Xenopus tropicalis: one gene and its partner. The main gene of each other region encodes a partner of the protein of the gene in region 2 in a complex. Links are inferred from orthologs where the notes say so. Each region holds a gene or a part of one and is shown on either strand. Other genes may lie near its edges.

The links. Proteins that work in one complex are often made in the same cells at the same time.
Region 1: the proteins of dnm1l (region 2) and mief2 are in contact, whole or in part, in a cryo-EM structure (PDB 5WP9), measured with the Homo sapiens proteins. The link is inferred for Xenopus tropicalis from reciprocal best matches to the Homo sapiens genes DNM1L and MIEF2. Residues at the interface, in NP_036192.2 of Homo sapiens: Asp190, Met191, Ala192, Thr193, Ser194, Leu197, Lys198, Ile199, Arg201, Glu202, Gly223, Thr224, Asp225, Asp228, Arg233, Val234; in NP_631901.2 of Homo sapiens: Val213, Asp214, Thr215, Val216, Arg218, Arg226, Leu230, Arg235, Val245, Gly246, Tyr248.

What each region holds. Positions count from the first base shown.
Region 1 is NC_030685.2:15,965,128-15,972,703, reverse strand, and holds the start of mief2 (mitochondrial dynamics protein MID49), read left to right. Parts: upstream 1-2,482; 5' UTR 2,483-2,624; intron 2,625-2,647; exon of another isoform or gene 2,648-2,711; intron 2,712-4,194; 5' UTR 4,195-4,207; coding exon 4,208-4,354; intron 4,355-4,566; coding exon 4,567-4,753; intron 4,754-5,941; coding exon 5,942-6,993; 3' UTR 6,994-7,576. UniProt on the Homo sapiens protein: Mitochondrial outer membrane protein involved in the regulation of mitochondrial organization.
Region 2 is NC_030679.2:4,798,178-4,805,500, reverse strand, and holds the start of dnm1l (dynamin-1-like protein), read left to right. Parts: upstream 1-3,286; coding exon 3,287-3,448; intron 3,449-7,323. UniProt on the Homo sapiens protein: Functions in mitochondrial and peroxisomal division.

The sequences.
Region 1 (7,576 bases), on a different chromosome or scaffold from region 2:
CAGCTTTCAGTCACTGCTCATTGACAACCAACCCCGGCGCGGAATGGACTCTCCGGCCACGCCCATTCCACCCTTTCATCGCCAGCGGCAGGTACTGACAAGCCGTCAGGAACACAGGCCTCTGATTGGTTGGAAGTGTGAGCAAGTGACAGGTCCGGCAGCACTGGGGAAACTATAGGGGGGCCCGGACAGCGGGGTACGCTCCCCCTGTAGTTTAACAAAATACCCCCTCTGCTACATAGGAGGCTGCAGGCTGAGTTATACAGGGAACTCTGAGTATCACTCATGTATTATAAGGGATACTGTACCCCCTACTGTAAATGATAAGGATATTAGCAGTCACTGAGGGGTTCTGTGCCCATATAAAGGCACAAGGCTGCAGGCTGAGTTATACAGGGAACTCTGAGTATCACTCATGTATTATAAGGGATAATGTACCCCCTACTGTAAATGATAAGGATATTAGCAGTCACTGAGGGGTTCTGTGCCCATATAAAGGCACAAGGCTGCAGGCTGAGTTATACAGGGAACTCTGAGTATCACTCATGTATTATAAGTGATAATGTACCCCCTACTGTAAATGATAAGGATATTAGCAGTCACTGAGGGGTTCTGTACCCATATAAAGGCACAAGGCTGCAGGCTGAGTTATACAGGGAACTCTGAGTATCACTCATGTATTATAAGGGATAATGTACCCCCTACTGTAAATGATAAGGATATTAGCAGTCACTGAGGGGTTCTGTGCCCATATAAAGGCACAAGGCTGCAGGCTGAGTTATACAGGGAACTCTGAGTATCACTCATGTATTATAAGGGATAATGTACCCCCTACTGTAAATGATAAGGATATTAGCAGTCACTGAGGGGTTCTGTGCCCATATAAAGGCACAAGGCTGCAGGCTGAGTTATACAGGGAACTCTGAGTATCACTCATGTATTATAAGGATAATGTACCCCCTACTGTAAATGATAAGGATATTAGCAGTCACTGAGGGGTTCTGTGCCCATATAAAGGCACAAGGCTGCAGGCTGAGTTATACAGGGAACTCTGAGTATCACTCATGTATTATAAGGGATAGTGTACCCCCTACTGTAAATGATAAGGATATTAGCAGTCACTGAGGGGTTCTGTGCCCATATAAAGGCACAAGGCTGCAGGCTGAGTTATACAGGGAACTCTGAGTATCACTCATGTATTATAAGGGATAATGTACCCCCTACTGTAAATGATAAGGATATTAGCAGTCACTGAGGGGTTCTGTGCCCATATAAAGGCACAAGGCTGCAGGCTGAGTTATACAGGGAACTCTGAGTATCACTCATGTATTATAAGGGATAATGTACCCCCTACTGTAAATGATAAGGATATTAGCAGTCACTGAGGGGTTCTGTGCCCATATAAAGGCACAAGGCTGCAGGCTGAGTTATACAGGGAACTCTGAGTATCACTCATGTATTATAAGGATAATGTACCCCCTACTGTAAATGATAAGGATATTAGCAGTCACTGAGGGGTTCTGTGCCCATATAAAGGCACAAGGCTGCAGGCTGAGTTATACAGGGAACTCTGAGTATCACTCATGTATTATAAGGATAATGTACCCCCTACTGTAAATGATAAGGATATTAGCAGTCACTGAGGGGTTCTGTGCCCATATAAAGGCACAAGGCTGCAGGCTGAGTTATACAGGGAACTCTGAGTATCACTCATGTATTATAAGGGATAATGTACCCCCTACTGTAAATGATAAGGATATTAGCAGTCACTGAGGGGTTCTGTGACCATATAAAGGCACAAGGCTGCAGGCTGAGTTATACAGGGAACTCTGAGTATCACTCATGTATTATAAGGGATAATGTACCCCCTACTGTAAATGGTAAGGATATTAGCAGTCACTGAGGGGTTGGCAGAGTTGGTCTCTTTGCCCTGGAGCGCCTAAAAGTCCAGTAAGAGTTTCTAATGTGGAAATGAGGCCACAGACATACAACTTCATCCAATTAAATGAGCGTCCTTTGGCTTTCCAAGCATTCTGGGAATTGTAGCCAAGTACAGCTTTGTATGACTTGTAGGTCATATAAAAGCGCAGGCAGAATGTAAAGTGATTAGTAATCGGCCATTTATTGTGTGTGTATTGGCTATGCACTTCGTGCTCGCTTTTCATACTATCCTTATGGATTAACAGCTTTGTATGTATTTATATTGCAATTAAAATGTTCAAGAATCATATATAAAAGAAAGGGAGGGAACTACATCGGTACGTTTGGGTGGGCAAAGGGTTTTTTTTCCAGCAGCCTAAGGGTTAAGAAAAACGTCTTCCTTCCCTGGGAGCGCAGCCAAGTGACGTCTCACTGACGCTACAGTACCCGCATGCTGATTGGTTGTACGTGTTCGAGTATCTGAGTTTGTTTTTTTTATCCCCCTGTGGCTTGTTTTTAACAGAGCGACGCCTGATTGGCTGGTCACTCTCAAATTGTCACCGCTGATTGGTTGAGTTGGAGGTTAAGCCTCCCGATTGGCCTATGGCTTGTAAGGCTCCGCTGGACTGGGCAAAGGGCTGAACTTGAGAACTCCTGGTTATTAGTTGGTGCGGAGGAGCGGCGGCCTAGCCGAGTGTAGGTGAGTGCGGAAAGTGAGTTGCAGCTGGGAGCAGACTCGGGCGAGTGCTTGCTGTGCCCCTGTGGCGCTGTCTCTGGGTTTCCAGTTGTTGGTAACAGCGCGGAGTCCCCGGCCTGGAGGGATATGGGGGTGTCAGGGGGAGGTGTGGGGGTGTCAGGGGGAGGTGTGGGGTGTTTCCTTAGGTTAGTTGGGGCCCCTGGAGCTTGTCCCCCTGGGCTGTGGCGGTGGGGGGCTAGCTTGTCCCCCTGGGCTGTGGTGGTGGGGGGGCAGCTTGTCCCCCTGGGCTGTGGTGGTGGCGGTGGGGGGGCTAGCTTGTCCCCCTGGGCTGTGGTGGTGGGGGGGCTAGCTTGTCCCCCTGGGCTGTGGTGGTGGGGGGGCAGCAGCTTGTCCCCCTGGGCTGTGGTGGTGGGGGGGCTAGCTTGTCCCCCTGGGCTGTGGTGGTGGGGGGGCAGCAGCTTGTCCCCCTGGGCTGTGGTGGGGGGGGGGGCAGCAGCTTGTCCCCCTGGGCTGTGGTGGTGGGGGGGCTAGCTTGTCCCCCTGGGCTGTGGTGGTGGGGGGGCTAGCTTGTCCCCCTGGGCTGTGGTGGTGGGGGGGCAGCAGCTTGTCCCCCTGGGCTGTGGTGGTGGGGGGGCTAGCTTGTCCCCCTGGGCTGTGGTGGTGGGGGGGCAGCAGTTTGTCCCCCTGGGCTGTGGTGGTGGGGGGGCTAGCTTGTCCCCCTGGGCTGTGGTGGTGGGGGGGCAGCAGCTTGTCCCCCTGGGCTGTGGTGGGGGGGGGGGGCAGCAGCTTGTCCCCCTGGGCTGTGGTGGTGGGGGGCAGCAGCTTGTCCCCCTGGGCTGTGGTGGTGGGGGGGCAGCTTGTCCCCCTGGGCTGTGGTGGTGGGGGGCTAGTTTGTCCCCCTGGGCTGTGGTGGTGGGGGGCTAGCTTGTCCCCCTGGGCTGTGGTGGTGGGGGGGCAGCTTGTCCCCCTGGGCTGTGGTGGTGGGGGGGCAGCTTGTCCCCCTGGGCTGTGGTGGTGGGGGGCTAGCTTGTCCCCCTGGGCTGTGGTGGTGGGGGGGCAGCTTGTCCCCCTGGGCTGTGGTGGTGGGGGGCTAGTTTGTCCCCCTGGGCTGTGGTGGTGGGGGGCTAGCTTGTCCCCCTGGGCTGTGGTGGTGGGGGGCTAGCTTGTCCCCCTGGGCTGTGGTGGTGGGGGGCAGCTTGTCCCCCTGGGCTGTGGTGGTGGGGGGGCAGCTTGTCCCCCTGGGCTGTGGTGGTGGGGGGGCAGCTTGTCCCCCTGGGCTGTGGTGGTGGGGGGGCAGCTTGTCCCCCTGGGCTGTGATGGCGGTGGGGGGGGAAGCTTGTCCCCCTGGGCTGTGATGGCGGTGGGGGGGGAAGCTTGTCCCCCTGGGCTGTTGTGGGGGGGGGGGCAGCTTGTCCCCAGGCTTACAGAGACTTATAATATTACCACCACCACCCCCCCCCCCAATCTGCCATTAGTTGCCTCTGTCTCAGGCTTACAGAGAGGGAGGAGTTCTTTAGTACAACAAATAATATCTAGTTAGGGCTCATAATCCATCTCCTGACCATGGTGTTCTCCCTGTGCAGGGTGAAGATGGCAGAGCTGCAGGTCCGAAAGAAAGAAAAGAAGTCTGGCGATGGTATCGGAACAATGGTGGACTTTCTGTTGGCCAATGCCAGGCTGGTTCTTGGCGTAGGAGGAGCTGCCATGCTTGGCATAGCCACACTGGCTGTTAAACGGGTGAGTGGAGATTCCCTGCTTTATTTTGTGTATTGGGAGCCCATTGTGCTGCGTAGGGAGTAGCTGTGTGTTCCTGTAATATTACTGCACCGCATCTGATCTGGGTCGTCTGGCTCGATACCTGCTGCCCAGGGGTGGCCCCCCAGTGTATTGTTATGCCACTTTGCTCTGAAGCTCAGGGTGAGTTGCTTACACCTTGTGCCTTTCTGCAGCTGATCGATCGAGCGACTTCACCCCCCAGTGACAAAGAAGCGGAGGAGAAAGCAGAGCAGAAATCCATAGAGGAGAGTTGGAAAGAGGCCGTACTGAAGAAGGCTTCACCTACACTCCGAAGGAAGGAAGACCTTGGGCTTCATTGTGCTCCTTTATCTCTGCCGGATCCCAGCCAGCCAATCCCAGGTCAGAGCCATCAGTACAGGGGAATCCCTGTTCTGCCGAAGTTTTATGGTATCTCCCTGTACAGGCTATGAGCATACTTAGGGGGCTGTTCCTGCTGAATTGTGCTTAGTACAGGGGAATCACTATGCTGCCATAGTTTTATGGTATCTCTCTGTACAGGCTATGAGCAAACTTAGGGGGCTGTTCCTGCTGAATTGTGCTTAGTACAGGGGAATCCCTATGCTGCCATAGTTTTATGGTATCTCTCTGTACAGGCTATGAGCAAACATAGGGGACTGTTCCTGCTGAATTGTACTTAGTACAGGGGAATCCCTATGTGCCATAGTTTTATGGTATCTCTCTGTACAGGCTATGAGCAAACTTAGGGGGCTGTTCCTGCTGAATTGTGCTTAGTACAGGGGAATCCCTATGCTGCCATAGTTTTATGGTATCTCTCTGTACAGGCTATGAGCAAACTTAGGGGGCTGTTCCTGCTGAATTGTGCTTAGTACAGGGGAATCCCTATGCTGCCATAGTGTTATGGTATCTCTCTGTACAGGCTATGAGCAAACTTAGGGGGCTGTTCCTGCTGAATTGTGCTTAGTACAGGGGAATCCCCATGCTGCTCTAGGTTTATGGTATCTCTCTGTACAGGCTATGAGCAAACTTAGGGGGCTGTTGCTGCTCAATTGTGCTTAGTACAGGGGAATCCCCATGCTGCTGTAGGTTTATGGTATCTCTCTGTACAGGCTATGAGCAAACTTAGGGGGCTGTTCCTGCTGAATTGTGCTTAGTACAGGGGAATCCCTATGCTGCCATAGTTTTATGGTATCTCTCTGTACAGGCTATGAGCAAACTTAGGGGGCTGTTCCTGCTGAAATGTGCTTAGTACAGGGGAATCCCTATGCTGCCATAGTGTTATGGTATCTCTCTGTACAGGCTATGAGCAAACTTAGGGGGCTGTTGCTGCTCAATTGTGCTTAGTACAGGGGAATCCCCATGCTGCTGTAGGTTTATGGTATCTCTCTGTACAGGCTATGAGCAAACTTAGGGGGCTGTTGCTGCTGAATTGTGCTTAGTACAGGGGAATCCCCATGCTGCTGTAGGTTTATGGTATCTCTCTGTACAGGCTAGGAGCAAACTGAGGGGGCTATTGCTATTCTCGTGGGGTTTATAATGCCCTTACAGTGTTTCTGTTCATCCATACAGAGGCAGCTGGCACGGTGCAGGATAAAGCGCCCGATGAGATGAAGAAGATTCCCATTTGCTTCACGCTGCAGGAGCGGCTGCAGGACTATCACTCACGCCACGCCAGTGTCCCGGAAGCGCAGAGGGAGGAGGCCAGGCAGCTGGTACTAGATATAAAGGCAGAGCTGCAGGGCTTTCTGCGTGCCAAGCTGCCCGAGATACCCTTCCTTGCCCTGCACCTTGGCGGCTCTCTGGGTAACCAACTCCCTGTGTCCTGCTTGGACCATGCCTGCCTGCTAATGCCTTTGGTTCCGGAGCCGGATTTGTGGTGTTTTATTCCAGGACAGCAAACGATCCTCAGCGACCCCAACTTCTGCATGGTAAAGAGGACTGACCTGGAATACGCGGCGCGGGGGAGCAGCCCCTGGGACAGGTTTCTGGTGGGTTCCTACCTTTCATCCAGGACCATCGTGCAGCTCTTACACAAGACCATAGTCGGGTCCATCAATTGGCCGGCCATAGGGACGGTACTGGACTGCACCATTAAACCAGACATCACCTCTGCTGAACTCAAGCTGGATGTGGCGCACCCCAACGTTCGGATGATTATTCGGATCCTACCGATGGTGGTCATTAAAGATGCCGAGCTTCTCGCCCATTGCAGCGCCGACGCTCCCGCCGATAACCTTTGGCAGCAGACTTTCTACAGGCAGGAAATCTCTCGGCTTCAGGAACTGGACAACTCCGAGTCGGGCATCCGGCTGCAGTGCTTCCAGATACTGAAGGGGATCTGTAGGGACTGTCCTGCCCTCTGCCATCTCACCTCCACCCACCTCAGGCACATCATCTTACACCTCAGTACAGAGACACCTGATTGGACAGAGGCCACTCTGGCTGACAGATTCCTTCAAGTACTAGAGGAGTTGATTGGTTACTTGGATAAAGGTTTCCTTCCTTCTTATTTCAATGACAAATTAAACTTGTTCTCTGCTCTAAAAGCCGAGGACATCGACGAACTGGGGTACGGCCTGTACCAAGTATTTTCTGAGCCCGATGCCCTCTTAAAGAGATAGGTACCTGCTCTAAGCACTGGAATCATTGCAGTATAGGTTGCCTTTTAAGGGGCCCTGATGGGGTGGCAGTTGGCAGGAAGGTGTCTGAGGGATTCTCATCAGCATTTGAGCTCCACTTCTTACAAGAGATTGTTCCGTGTCTTCCTGAGCACCTTCCATTTACTCCACTCAGCGGGTAAGATAGAAGTAATGATTTAAAGGGCAAGTATCGGATAAAGTAGAGTTTCTTTGATCTGTATTTGGTTGCCAAATGTTACTACCAGCTTGCCATCGCTTGTAAGAGTTGTGCCAATGCCCTAGGCCCTTCTGAGCCATAGTACTCCATCCCTCGCCCTGCTGGATGGCTTCTGTTGGGCAATGCTGCTTTGCAGGGTGCCATGAATACTACTGAGATGAATTGCATTGGCCCCCGGTGTCTTTATCATAGATGATAGGATAACATTGCCCCCATAGGGGGCAGTCATTTCATGTACAAGAGATTAAATCAAATGATTTATATTTTTATTGATATGGGATATTTGGGTGGGGGGGGGTCTTATAGGGGCAGCTGTAGGTACCACTATTCTATATGCTTTTTATTTAC
Region 2 (7,323 bases):
CTCAATACCCACATCATGGCCTTAAACCTGCCCAGCTTAACCCCCACATTTTTTTTACCCTACCCCAACCCACCCAATACCCCACAATCAATGGCTTTTACTGCCCAGCTACACCATCAAATTTAAACCTACCCCCAACCCACCCCAAATACCCCCACAATCCAATGAAAATTCCTGCCCAGCTTAAACCCCAACCTTTACCTAACCCCCCTTTACCCCACCCCAATTACCACCATCAATGGCTTACCCTTTGGGCCCAGCTTACCCCCACCAGTTTTTACCCTACCCCCCAACCCAACCCCAAAAATACCCCCACATCAAAATGAATACCCTTGGCCGCTACCCCCAACATTTTTAACTCACCCCCCCAACCCCACCCAATTACCCCACAAATCAATGGCCTTACCTTGCCGCAGCTTACCCCCACAAATTTACCTTACCCCCAAAACCCACCCAATACCCACATCATGGCTACCCTGCCAGCTACCCCCAACAATTTCCTACCCCCCTACCCCACCCAACTAACCAACACATCATGGGCTTACCTTGCCCCCCCAGCTTACCCAACATTTACCTACCCCCTTACCACCCAATTACCCACAATCATGGCTACCTGGGCCCAGCCTTTAAAAACCCAAACATTTACCTACCCCCTACCCACCCAATACCCACATCATGGGTACCTGCCCGCTAACCCCACAAAAAGTTTAACCTACCCCTAAACCCCACCCCAAATACCCACAATCATGAATACCTGGCCCAGCCTAAACCTCAACATTTAACCTACCCCCTAAAAAACCCAACCCCAATAACCACCACATCATGGCCTTCCCTGCCCAAGGCTACCCACAAAAATTTTTTTTTAAAACCACCCCCTTACACCCAAATACCCCCACATCAAAAATGGGGTTAGCTGCCCCAGCTACCCCACATTTACCTACCCCCTACCCACCAAATTACCAACAAATCATGGGGTTTACCTCCCCAGCTTACCCAAACATTTACCTACCCCCATACCCCCCATACCCCACAATCAATGGGGTAAAAACCTGCCCAGCTTTACCCCACATTTTTCCTACCCCTTACCACCCCACATTAACCCAACATCCAATGGGTTTACCTGCCAGGCTACCCTCACCAAATTTTACCCCTACCCCCTACCCCACCCAAATATACCCCCAAAAATCAATGGCCTTAACCTGCCAGCCTTTTACCCCACATTTTACCTTCCCCCCTACCCACCCCCAATACCCACCAAAAATCATGGGTAAACCCTGCCCCAGCTACCCCCCACATTTCCTAACCCCCCTACCCAACCATACCCCACAATCCATGGGTTAACCCTTGCCCCCAGCCTAACCCCACATTTTTAACCTACCCCCTAACCCACCAATACCCCCACCCCCATTGTTGCAAATAGGGCCCCCTGGCCCCATTCAGTGGGAAGCAGGAAAAAATCCCCTGTGGGGCCCCTCCCCTGCCCCTTTGGGCTTTTGCCAAATCTAACATAGCCCCTACTAAGCCCCCCCCCAAAAAGGGTTGGGGGTTTTTTTTTTTTTTTTTTTTCAGACCTTCCCTTCCAAGTGGGCCCCCCCCATGTTACCCAGTCTGCGGACCTCCCCAGGGCAAAAGTTTTAAAAAAACCTAACACCAGACTTCAAAGCCCCCCCCTTTCCATTTTCAATATTATTGCCCCTTTTGGGGGGGCCAAGAACCCCTACATCCTTGTTTACTTTCAGTGGGTCCCGGTTTTCCCAGCCCAAAATGGAAAAAAAAAATCCTTGCAAATAACAGGAGGCCCCCCCCCGGCTTACCCCAGAAACCCCTACCGTTTTATAAGCCAGAACCCCTTGTCCCCCTCCTCTTTAAGTCATAGTTTTTTTTTTTAAAATTTTAACCCCTGTGGGGGCAAAAATCCCGCCTAATACCCCTGCCTAATTTTAACTGTTTCTTACAGATTTGTGGCCCCGAACCTCATTATTACTAGACCTATATAGTCATTTATGGGCCAAAGACATTCCAACCCTGTACCTCAGGGTAATAAAGGGCCTGTTCCAGTTTGTTTTTTTGCCCCCCCTTTGGATTCCAAATATTAAAATTGGCCCCCCTTGGGGGCAAGAAAAACCTACACCCCCCATGGGTACTTAATGGTTTTTTGCTTTGTCCCAGTCCCAATGGGATCAGGGTTAAAAATCAAAGCCCCCCCGCTTTTGCCCCCCCAGAAACCTACTCTTTTAATACCAGAACTGCCATAATTATTAAACCCTCGTGGGGGGTAAAAAAATCCCCCTCTCTAAATACCCAAAGGGTGTCCTGCCCCAAATTTTAAAGCCTCTTTCCTTAAAAGAATCTTGGGCCCCGAAAAATCTCCTTAATAACTAGAAACCCCATTTAAAGTCCCCCCAATTTTTTGGGGGTTGAAAACAGATTCATTTCTTTTGGCCCCCCGACTCCATGTTTTTCCCATTTAGTAAAAAAATAATTTGGGGGGGGCGGTTTTTTTTTTTTCACCTGTCTCTTGTCCCCCCCCCCCCCCCCCCCAAAGGGATCTGTTATTACAACTTTTTCCTTCTAAAGACCCCCAGCAAAATGGTTTTTTGTTTTGAACTACACCCTCCAGCATATGCAACCTACATCAGTTGTAAATTTTTAATTCATTATTATTTCACCCCCCAAACCTCCTTGCCTGTGGTAAAAAACGTAAAAAAACTTGATTTTTCTATTTGAATTATAAAGCAAAAGATTTGGGGCGCTTTTTCCCCCCCCATTTCATTCCAAGCCCCCTACTCTGTACACATTTTATAATAAATACGATTATTACTATCTACTTGAAAGGTTGGTGTCCCCTTCCCCCATTTTTCCCCCTAAAAATTATACGTTTCTTATTTATAATTTTAGAAGGGGCCAACCCCCGGCCCAACGCCCTGAGAGGGTGCAAGCACCCCCCAAAGCCTCCCACTCCCCAAATGTTCAACAGCCAAGGGGAAAACCCCTTTTCCTAACCAAGCACTTTCCTGTTTCCTTGACCAGTCCAATGAAACGGTCAAGAGATCCCAGAAGGAAGGACCCGCCCAATATGTTTGGCCCTTCCGGGGCCAAGAGATTTTTTACCCAATTAGAAAGCTTTTTTTCCTGACTGGGAAATACCGGGAAAAATGGGCTAGCTTTTTTTTTTTTCCCTTCATGGCCCCTGCCGTTACGCCTAAGTCAAACTGAACAAAATTCATTTCTGAGGGGGTACCCTGCCCCTTAATAAGAAAGTCCAACTGCTTGAACCACAGTAAATATGGCCGCCGTGCCCCGCCATTCCTCCTTCAGCGAACTTACATATCCCCGTTCCCAGCGCGCCCTAGCGGCCCGCGCCCACATGCCCGCCCAAAAACCCTGGGCTTCCTTCGTGGCCTGTTGGGCCCCGGCCTTTTCTGGGTATACCGCACAGGCCCCCTTGGTGGGGGTGCATTTGCCTGAAATTGGTCCCCCCCCCCCCCGCTTAAGCGGGAGGGGCCCGGCTTGGTGTTGAGAGGAGTTCCCCGGCCATGGGAGGGCCGGCTTTCATTCCTTGGTTCATTAACAAAACGCTGCAGGATGTGTTTCAAACACGGTTTGGGGGTCCCCGGGAAATTTTGTTTTTATTCCAGCTTGCCGCAAGATCGTGGTGCGTTTTGGGGGAAACTCCAGGGTGGAGGAAGGCCTGTTGGGGTGTTGTGGGGAAAGCGGGGCCTTTGATTGGGAAATTTTACCGGCTGCCCTCCCAGTTTTGGCTGGAGACCCACGCGCAAACCAGAATAAAATGGGGCCCCCCCCCCTGCCAATTTCAGTGGGGGTCAAGCTATCCCATAATGTACCCCCCAGTTGTATCCCCCCGGCCCTGCTTCTGGGGATTAAAAACCCTCCTTCTGGGCCCTTCCTTCTCAAGCTTGCCCCAGAACCTCTTTTAATTATCAAGACCTGGTCCCCAATCAAACTTCGGCCCCCCTGTTTCCTTTTCCCAATTTCAACAAATTATGGAAAACCTACAAATTCCTTTGTTTTTTTACTCAGGGTAAACCTGCCCCCCCCCCTTTTTTCCCCCATTTCAAATATTTTAATTTGCCCCTTAGGGGGCCAAAGAAGAAACCTTAAACCCATCCCTTTTGGTAAACCTTCAGGGGTCCCCCCCCTGGTTTCCAAGCCCATTGGGAATCTTCCATAACCAGGAGCCCCTCAGCCTTTGCCCCCCAGGAAACCTCTTTACTTAACCAGAACCTGCCCCCCTTTCCCCCCTTTTTAAGTCATAGTTTCTTAGGGGCAAAATTCCCTCCTAAAAAATAACCCCAGGGTGTCCTGCTTAATTTTAACTCTTTCTTATAGATTTGTGGCCCCGAATCTCATTCATAAACTAGGCCCCATTTTCAGTCCATTTTATGGGCCAAAGGACCAATTTCAATATTTGGGGCTTTTATCTAGAACCCCCCAGGGTGCCCCTGTAAAGTTTTGGGGTGGACAGGGGGGGGTGCCCCTGAAAGCCTTTGTAAGGGTGGGTTGCAAGGGGGGGCGGCCCTGAGCTTGTAAGTGGGTGACAGGGGGGCGCCTGAGCCCTGTAAGTTGGGTGGTAAACCAGGGGGGCGCCTGAAGCTTTGTTAAAGTGGGTGACAAGGGGGGGTGCCCCTGAAGCCTGTAAGTGGGGGTGAACAGGGGGGAGCCCTGAAGCTTGTTAAAGTTTGGGTGGAGAGGGGGCTGCCCCTGAGGCTGTACAAAGTGGGTTGACCAGGGGGGCGGGCCTGAAAGCTTTTTGTAAAGTGGGTTGAACAAGGGGGGGTGCCCCTGAAAAAGCTTGTAAGTGGGTTGGAAAACAGGGGGGGGGCGCCTGAGCTTGTTAAAAAGTGGGTTGGACAAGGGGGGGCCGCCTGAAGCTGTTAAGTGGGGTTTTTTTTGACAGGGGGCGTGCCCCCCTTGGCTTGTAAGGGTGGCGTGGACAGGGGGGGGGTTTTGCCCCTGGGAAGCTTTGGTAAGTGGGGTGGACAGGGGGGGCGCCTGAAGGCCTGTAAGTGGGTGTACAGGGGGGTTTTGGCCTTGAAAGGGCTTTTGGTAAGTGGGTGACAGGGGGGCTGCCTTTTAGCTTTTTGGTAAAAAGTTGGGGTGAGAGGTGGTTGGGCCCTGAAGCCTGTAAAATGTGGGTTGAAAAACAGGGGGCGCCTGAGCCTTGTAAATTTTGGGGTAAACACGGCCGGGTTTGCCCTGAGCTGTAAGTGGGTAAACAGGGGGGGTGGCCTTGACAAGGCTGTAAAAGTGGGGTTTTTGACAAGGGGGTTGGCTGAAGCTGGTTAAGTTGGGTGACCAGGGGGTTTGCCTGAAAAAGCTGTTAAAAAAGTGGGTAACAGGGGGGGCGCCTGAGCTTGGTTTTAAGATGGGTTGAAAAAACAGGGGGGCCGCCTGGGAGGGCTTTGTAAAGTTGGGTGAAACCCAGGGGGGGCGGCCCTGAAAAAAGCTTGTAAGTTGGGTTTGGGACAAGGGGGGTTGCTGAAAAAGCTTGCCTTCGGTTGCCAGAAACTGGGGCAATAATTGATATATTTTTCCTTAAAACCAGGATTTTTCCCAGGAAACCCTAATGGAACCAGGACCTTGCCCCCCAATTCACAAGAAACCCGGTTTCTATGGGACCGCTTGTTTTCCTTCTGTCCCGAGGCGCTGTCAATAAAATAAAAAAATATAACGAGAAGGAATGTTTCCCCTTGGGGCCCCAACACATAAGCCTGGTACCCTCATAACCTGGTAAACTGTCTAACGGGGAAAACTATGGGCCATACCCCTTACCCCATATGTAAAAAATAAATAACAATATACGAGAGGAAAATGCTCCCTGGGCCCACCACAAATAAGCTTTGTAACCCCATTAACTGGTAAAACTTGTCTAAAGGGGAAACCTATGGCAACCCCCTACCCCATAAATGTTTATAAATACACAATTATAAGAAGAACTGGAAAATGTTCCTGGCACAAAACAATTAATGCCCTGGTAACCCCCATTACTGTTAACTGTCCCTAGGGAAAAACACTATGGCAAACCCCCCTTACCATATGTTAATACAATATAAACAAGAGAAAGGGGAATGTTCTGGGCCAAACACAATAAAAGCTTTTGTATACCCCATTACCCTTGGTACTTGTCCCCTAAGGGGAAAAAACGCTTTTATTGGACCCTTACCCATATGGTAAATAATACAGAATAATACAAGAGAGGAATGTTCTGGCAAAACAAAATTTAAGCTTTCTTTTGCCAGCCCCTGGGGGATTTGGGGGCGCTTTCATTTCCCTTTTTTTCATCTCCCAAATGGGTGGAGAAAGCGATCCAGGGGCCCGGGGGTAAAATTGGGGATGGTTAGGAACAGTTCTCGTTAGCCAGAACTCCCTTAAAGTCCCCCACCAGGCTGCTTGGGCAGGGCATTTGAAATTTCCAAACAAGTCGAGCCATTTAATTGAAGACTTAAATCCAGCAAAGAGTCCATTGAATTTTTTTTACATAAACGTTACTCCACTAAATGCTTTGGGGAGGGGGGGGGATTTTCTGTATTTTCGACATTAACAAAGCTTGAATTAGAGTGGGAAATTTCATGTTTTTTCCTGAACTGAAGGAAATGCTGGGGAGCCCTGTAAAAGTTTTTCCCAAAACTTTGAGGACTACTGTGCCCTGGTTTTTTTCCAATGCCTGTTTGGGGTTGAAATGTTTATTTTCCTGTTCGCCTAACAGCTTGTTGCAAATACAGCAAGGCCTTAATGTGGGGCGCTGTTCTTTAAAAGCAACTTTAATATTGGAACAGCTGCAAATGTAACTGTAAATGTAACTGTAAAAAAAAATGGCGGCCAAAAAAAAAAATTTGTGGGGTTCCCTCTGGGGCAAAAAAGGGATTTAGTTGGGGTTTTCCTCAATCCCGTCCCCCTTTAAAAAATAAGCAAGTGGTTATACCTTAGGGGGCTTTTTGTTTCCCTGCTGAAAATTTGTGCTTAGTTAACGGGGGGAATCCCTATGTGCAATAGGTTTTTATGGTATTTCCTTCTGTACAGGCCTATGGGCCAAACTTAATGGGGGCTTGTTTCCTGCCTGAATTGTGGCTTTAGTACAAAGGGGAATCCCTATGTTGCCCTAGTTTTTAATGGTAAATCTTTTCTCTGTACGGCTTAATGGGCAAACTTTAAAAAGGGGGGCCTGTTTTTTTCCCTGCTTTGAAAAATTGGTGCGCTTAGGGTACAGGGGCAAAAATACCCTTAATGTGCCATAAGTTTTTTATGGTAAATTCTCTGCTGACAGGCCCCCTATCGGCAAACTTAGGGGGGGCTTGTTCCTGC